Styela clava: one gene and its partner. The protein of the gene in region 1 purifies or fractionates together with the protein of each later gene. This does not show direct contact. Links are inferred from orthologs where the notes say so. Each region holds a gene or a part of one and is shown on either strand. Other genes may lie near its edges.

The links.
Region 2: the proteins of kinesin-like protein KIF14 (region 1) and KIF-binding protein-like purify together in Homo sapiens (affinity purification with mass spectrometry; 3 studies listed by BioGRID and IntAct, counting the BioPlex papers as one, with this or other methods). This does not show direct contact. The link is inferred for Styela clava from reciprocal best matches to the Homo sapiens genes KIF14 and KIFBP.

What each region holds. Positions count from the first base shown.
Region 1 is NC_135254.1:17,309,674-17,313,608, forward strand, and holds the start of kinesin-like protein KIF14, read left to right. Parts: upstream 1-1,550; 5' UTR 1,551-1,657; coding exon 1,658-2,302; intron 2,303-2,758; coding exon 2,759-2,903; intron 2,904-3,222; coding exon 3,223-3,307; intron 3,308-3,723; coding exon 3,724-3,848; intron 3,849-3,935. UniProt on the Homo sapiens protein: Microtubule motor protein that binds to microtubules with high affinity through each tubulin heterodimer and has an ATPase activity. Plays a role in many processes like cell division, cytokinesis and also in cell proliferation and apoptosis.
Region 2 is NC_135253.1:7,647,834-7,651,768, reverse strand, and holds the start of KIF-binding protein-like, read left to right. Parts: upstream 1-931; 5' UTR 932-989; intron 990-2,316; 5' UTR 2,317-2,374; coding exon 2,375-3,935. Other genes in the region: coatomer subunit delta-like, read right to left, coding at 706-708. UniProt on the Homo sapiens protein: Activator of KIF1B plus-end-directed microtubule motor activity. Required for organization of axonal microtubules, and axonal outgrowth and maintenance during peripheral and central nervous system development.

The DNA of each region.
Region 1 (3,935 bases):
AATCCTCCAATCATTAGAGCTGAGCGACCCTAATAAATTGGCCGCGCGATGTTTTGAAAGTTTATCTTGTTCGTGCAGTTAGTTCCGTAGTTCGGTGGTTTTCCAGTTTTCTGTTGGTTAGGGTATCATTTTTGTTCAAATCCGATCACCTATTTGGGAGGTTAGGCTGTCGTTTTAAGAACTAGGAAGCTTATTGAAAGGTCGTTATTCACTAGTATGATTTACCGTTAGCTGTTTTATCATTCTGAAGTTTCTGTTAGTTCTGTAGTTAGTTCTGAAGTTAGATAAATCTGTAAATACAGAAATTCTGGAAATATGAAACGCTTCCACATTCAGACATTCATAGATTGAAACAATATCTGAATATAGCCTACATATAAGTTATATCAGTATATCCTTGTTGCAGATACGGGGTATTCAACTTATTATGTTTGATTGCTTATTTCAGTGAAAAAAGGCAGCCAAAAAAAGTTATGAAGCTGTACCGTAAGTTAGATAAACAGATTGATAAATAAATAATACGGTACCGCTTTGGGTATCACACATAGTACTGTAGTACTACAAAATCTACAATATAAATACACCACAGTATAAACATCTATACAGGTATAACAACAATGTATCACAAAAATTGGCAATTACTACAATCAGACAATTACAGAATTAAGACTAGACAAATTATGACTAGTAAAAGCACTGGAAAGGAGATTCTGACATTAGACAATTACCCAATAGTAGTGCTAACCCATTTTTAATACACAAATGTCGAAAACCATTATCTAATTCTCTCCAATATAATATTCTGATATTTGACAATTCCCAGTATTGTCCAAGTGTCCTTGGGTTGGACACTGACCTGGGAATCTCCGTATTTATCCAAATAGTGTTTGAAAATATTCACAGATGCACTTATTCTCACATTTAATGGTAATCTGTTCCAGTATTTCACGACCCCGTTCGGCCGTTCCCAAAAAAGCTCAACTTTGAACGCTGATTTTGCCTTATGTCAAGATCTAACAATTAAAAGAAAATTTTGATAAAAATGTTATTTGTACTACATCTGAACATGGATGTTTACATGCATATAATCCTAATTTAACTTAATCATGTAGATCAAGGCCTAGACTGTCGGGGTTCTGCACTCTCTTTGTACTGTACAGACTGTATGACACACATCGTAAATGACGACGTGTGGAAATTCGTGCGGCGCATTATGCTCATAAAATTTAAACGATACCATGCACAGTGAAAACAAAATGAACTACAAATTGTAAAATATCTTGGTGACCATGTTTCAACTCGGCATGGTGGTGCATTGCGCTAACTATTGTGATAGGGATATGCTCGGCAGGTGCGAATCTTGCTGGGGATTAGGTCAAGTCATTGCTCATTTCTTTCAACCGCTTCAAATCCAGATATATTTTAATGGACACGTTTTTTTAGTAAGCCTCCCAGGACGCTATAATTGATTGCTTCCTTAAATTCTTATTTGCACCACTAATTTGGTAATTAATGAAATTATTTTTAAATGAACATTTTTCAGAAATAGAATTAGATTTAAAAATATGTACCTGGTTGAGTTAAATCTGATTGCTACAAAGAATATACAAAAATCACATTTACATAATTTTACTTGTGTAGACCATTGATATACAAAATGTCTTCAAGAGCGATAACTCAAAAACGTAAAGCATTCACAAATGAGGTTTCTAGCAGAAAAGGATCACCACACACTTCCGTTACAGTTAACAGAAAATATAAATCATCTCTGACATCAACCCCTGTCAAATATGGTGATGGGACAGATACCGGTAATGCACTAGATCTATCAAGATCACCAAAGTTTTTTAAAGTCAATTTAGACAAGGAAAATAACAATACACCGACTTCAACAACTTCTAAAAACACGGGGTTTGTTAAGACTTCATCAAAATTGAGCACAAAATTATCTGTCGATAAGAAAAATTCAAGTACCTCAGGTACAACGAAAAGTCCTAAAATTCCTCCTACAAATTTCATGTGTGCATCGTCTGTGTTATCGACAACTACAAGCTCACTTGCAAGACATCATCGAAAAAGTCATGCGGATCAAGCAAACACTAAAGATAACCATGAGAGCTCTCCTATAGCTAGAAGGAATATCAAAAAACATCTCCCCGAAAAAATGACACCTGGTATGAGCCCTTATCATGGCACGCCACCGAAACGTAGGCCGCCTGAAACAGAAATTGGAGTAACTGCAAGTCCTTCATTCAAATCGATTCCAAATGATATGGTTCGCAAAATGGTTAAAAATATTCAGGTAAATAAAAGTCTAATGTACCGTAGTTATTTTATTTTAGGTACATTATAGCCTTAGGCAAGCTGTTTTGGATCCTGTTTGAAAGTTGGATCTTGAAACCAGCTTTATTTGTTTGGAAAATTGAAATCAATTGTTGATATTTTTCCAGTTTAAAATACAATGAAACAGATATTTTCTGGTTACTCTGTTACAAGTTCAACCTCGTATTATAGAAGTAGATTGGAGTGAATGAATTGGTTGAAGTTTTTGGGGAAATAAATCAATTGTTTCTTGATTGATATAGCACTGTGTTGTCATAAGTTTGGTGTTGTGGTTTTTCGTTGTCTTTTTATATTTCTGATTGACAAAATTTTAGTTGTGTTTTTGTTTAAAATGACATACCGTAATTACCTTGTACTACAAACTGAACTGATTATGGTAATTAATGTATCCTATTAATCGCATGATATCTTTAAGGATAAACCACCTTCTCCGAGCTCTAGGAACCCAACTGGGCGCAATAATCCACACGAAAACAAGCCCACCTCTGTTCGAAAAAATTTAGCAAGTCGACTTGGTGGAAGCAACTCAATTAAAAGAGGAAGATCATCTTTTGCATTAAGTATGATGATGACTTTTTAATTTTTATGTATATTAGTCGACTTTTTTTCTATGAGTTTTGTAGCAATTTATTTTCCATCTTTTGTATAATCTAGAATGCTTTTCCAATACATACCGTACTTCACAGAAACAGAGATATACAAATACAAAAGTTTCCTGTAAATGTTCAATGATGCTCTTAACAGTCTGAAGTATAAAGCATTGTCTTCAGAATATTTCATTATGCTCGCGAGTCGCGACGCTTGTTTTTCTGCTTGCTGACGAATTATTAATATTTGAAAATGCTTAGCACATTTATATTTTTAAAAATATGTTTTCAGGTCTCGCTCAGAACGTAGACAAAGAAAATTTACGAGAAGATTTTTCCGTCACTGTTGCTGTCAGAGTGCGGCCGTTCAGCCAGAAGTAAATATTTTATTTTTGTATACGGATATTTAGTGAAACCAAATTTTTAGAGAATACGGGCATATTTGACTGGATCATTGAAATAAAATTATAGTGATGAAATGAGATGGTAATCGAGGATGTCCACGAGCGCTAGTTTGATTGTATTCTAAATTTTTTTTCAATTCAGCAATCGAAAGTGCGCGATAACTATGAATTTTAAGTATCCCTAAAATGTAGAAATGCCAGAGACAATAATGTTTCTTTTTTCCTTTTTGGACGGATGTTAAGTTTAATGCTGAACACATCAAATAGAAAATTTCTTCAATTTGGAAAATCTTTTATATAAATGGGCCTATTTCACGTAACTGATTAAAATGTACCTGTATTCAATTTGTTCTGGACAAACCTATAAAACAGTGCTTTATAACCGACAGGGAGGAAGATGCGAATGCAAAACAAGTGGTTTTCATGAACGAAAATGGAACATTGGTTTCAGATGGATCGAATGATCATAATTTTTCTTATGATTTTTCATTTGATTCTATAAAACAGTCATCAGGTGAATTTGTTGAATTGATTTTTTGCGCAATCAATACTATATTTATGTTTAGAAAGTAAGAATATTTCATTTGCTTCATGGCTATGA
Region 2 (3,935 bases), on another chromosome or scaffold:
TACGTCACCAAAAAATTACGTCATTTGGACGTCACAGTGGCGTAATGAGACCCACCAAAGTATGGAGATGGTCGTCCAAAACACTCGGACGATCACCCGAAATCGGGCAAGCTAGTTCTCTCGTTTTTGCCTCACAACGATCACCATAAGAGAGAGATCGTCGGCGTTAGCGAGTTCATTATCGGCGGCGCAGATGCCATTTCGGGCGATTGTAATTATACTTTGGCAAGCCATATCACGTGATGGTGACATCCTAGTGACGTAATTTTTGGATGGCATAGTCAGGTGGGGGTTAGGAATACCATATGCAAAATTCGTTATGCTACGCCCACTGGAAGTACCTGTGGTACTAAACTATACTAGACCCGCCTCTCGTTCGGTTACCAGGTCGGGTATGGGATTAGTTAACCAGGTATTTGTTTTCGGAAGAATGGAGTTGATATATAGAAATAAGATTTTATATTAATTTGAAGGACTGAATGAGATAATAGCCATGGAGTTAAGTCTTAACACTGTTTTGAAAAAAAAATATAAGCAATCCATCTCAACACAGTAACAGCAACTAATTAACAATTGAACATTGCCAGATTGCGTTAGCCTATATCTGTAACGTTATATGGAGTCAGGTTAAGTTAGATCGGACCATAATTTGAATCCAAAACTGGTGGTCATATCATAGATTCATATTCCATAATAATCACTTACCATATTGTAATTTATAGATTTCCAAACCTCAGAAATGTGAAACAAAAACGACACCGATAGCCAGTATGCCAATGCAGAAACCTTGTTCAACAGGCAGCCACGTCAGTGCTAGGCATAAGTACGAAAACGGCTGAATGGAGACTACTGCGATGTTCGATAAATTCGATTTATCATCCCCGCGAGATGTCGCGCTAGAGTAATAAAAATTCTTATTACCCATTTACTTCAGTCTTCACTCCGCGAGTTCGTTGAGATGAATACGATGCAGTATAATATAGCCTACGGTAAATATAAGTATATTTTGAGTACCGGAATTTCGGCAAATAGTACCGGTATGCATCGTATTGTCGTATTTTTTATATTTATTCAAGTGTGATCTTGTTTTCCCAATTTTTTTTTATGTATGTATGTTTATTCGTCTCGTAATAGTGATAAATAAATGAACAATTATTCATGGCCCCTTTGTGCATATTTTAAATAGGTAGATATGCTTTTCTGTAGTGAATGAACTGGGTAATTCTGAAGATAAAACCTAAATAAATTTCATTATGCACTTCAGTGTTCTTAATTCATTTTAATAATTGGATGTGAGAGAATTTCATGTTGTGAATTTTTATATTATATGTCGGGACGGCGGAAAAACAGGCTAAAACCGGGACTGTCCTGGCTAAACCGTGACGTATGGTAAGCCTATGTATGACCATAGTTGTGATTCGAACCTTCCGTCACCACTGTGGAGCTAGCAGCAATTTCAACCAGAATATTTTTACACATTGAATATAATTTCCAAGCGCATATATGATTCACTTATAGCTATATATAAAAATTGAAAAGGCTGATTAAAATATAATTTTACCACGGAATCAGATGAAAAATCTTTAAACTAAATAAATACAATAAATTGGACGAGAAAATATTGTTTAAAAAAAGATTAAGTAAGCGAAAAATGAATCTAAGGTAGCCAGGTTCCTAATTTTTTGCGAAAGCGTTTATTAGATTACAATTCAGTCTTTCTTCGTTGTCAAATATAGCTACCGTAAGTAGCATGCTTCTAGTGGGCGTAGTTTTACAGTTTTTGCATTTGTCAATCCTAACCAACACTTCGCTGCGTCATTCGAAAATTACGTCAAAGTGACATAACAAGGCCCTTCAAACTGTACAAACTGTCATTCAAGCACACAGACAGTCACCTAAAATCTAGCAAGCTATTTCTCTTGTTTTTGCGTTGCAACGATCCCGATATGACTGGCGGCGGCGCAGATGCCATTGTGGGTGATCCCCCTATACTCTGACAAGCTCTATTAAGGAAGTGATTGTGATGTCGTAGTGACATAATTTCTGGATGCCATAGTCAGATGGGGATTAGGATTGACATATGCGAAAATCGTTATGCTACGCCCACTAGAAGTACTTGAAGTACGAAACTACACAAGACCCCAGTAATAGTACATTTTGTAAACATTCACTGGTCCCATTGTTTCCAGAATCTGAGAATATTGATCTTTTTTTTCTACTTTCTTCTTAGTTAAGTGGCGAAAATGCTGCAGAGCAAACCATTCAAAAGTCGTTGTGCCTATAGGCCTACTCATTAAAATACATTTTTTTTAACAGAAGAATTAGTACTATATTTCAGATTTATTTAATATACAGATATATAAGGAAGTTGGATATGAATTTTGAATTCAGTTTACCCCAGACACTTCTTGAATATTTTGAGTCGGAGGGATACGATGCATATAACAGTGTACGAGTTTTAACTGATGAAGAAAGTTTAAAAGATCCAGAAAATGATCCTTTCAAGTCAAAATACAAAGCAAGAGAAAAGCTGCAAGAAATATTGAATAGAATACATAAAGAACGAGAAGAAAATGAATCTGACCCATCCATGAAAATTTTAGAAGCTGCGATACAATATCAGCTAGGATTTAATTACACTCACACTGAGGAAAGACCTGCTGGAGAAGAATGTCTTGATAAGTGTATTGCTCTTCTGAAAGACGATGAACTTTTAATGAGACCAGAGGCTGTTAGCATTGCCATGATTGCATATTCTGAACTTGGAATAGTATGGGCTAGCCGTTATCAAGGCCGAGACGAGGCAATGTTCAACCTTAAAAAAGTTGAAAGTCTTTATAATAAATATAAGCATGAAGTGGGTCTTTCTCCTTTCGCTATTGATGAAAGTTTGCGTCCAAAGGAAGAGAAATTCACTGACATGCAACGTGATGCAAAATTTGAAAAGATTTTCACTCATACATTGTTTTACTTGGCACAGATGTACAAACAAAGTGATGAAAATGATCTATCTGCTGCATATTGTCAAAGAACTTTACGACGTCAACTGGAATCAAAAGAGTATGATCCAAAAGAATGGGCTGTGAATTCTGCTGGCCTATCACAATATTACATTTGTCAAAATATGTATCGTGAAGCAAAACATTGTTTGGCTTGTGCCAATGTCATTATGGAAGAAGCAAAACCTCAGGAAGGTCTACCTGAGCCGAAACCTGATGATGATAATGAGACGATCATGCTGAGAAATGAAATACCACAGAAGAAAGCAGATATCGCTCGTTGTTGGGTGAAGTACTTTCTCGCTCTTCTGGATTACTCAAAGGAACTCTTATATAATGATGTGTGTGAACTTGATGTTAATAGACAAGCAGAAGCTATACTACGACTACAATTAAATGAGGAAAATGACAATGATGTACCCAAAGATCATGACAGAATGCCTCTTGAAGTTGATTCTGTAGAAGAGAATGCGAGACATTTACCAGTCACCACTTTTGAAGAAAGTCGACAAGTGTTCCTAATAGCGAAAAAATATGTTGATTCTGCTCTTGAATTCTTTGTTATGGATGGTTTTGTCACAGATAATATTGAGCTGACGCAAGACATGAGTGCTCTGTATAAACACTTGATTTTCTTTGAGACAGAGAAAGAGAGAAAATGCAAGATGCATAAAAGACGGATAGACCTTCTTACTCAAGTTTTGAATGAGATAAATCCTCAATTTTTTCTTTTAATATGCAGACAACTTCAGTTTGAAATTGGGGAAATATATGGTGCGATGTTAGATTTAAAAATTGCAATTGCTAATGAGTCGACTCAGACTCCAACACACCACGCTATCAAGAAGATAAACCTATTGTGTAGGTCCAGTATATTATATTTCACTAAATTTCTTGACACACTACGAAATACTAAAAAAGTATTTCCTTTTCCAT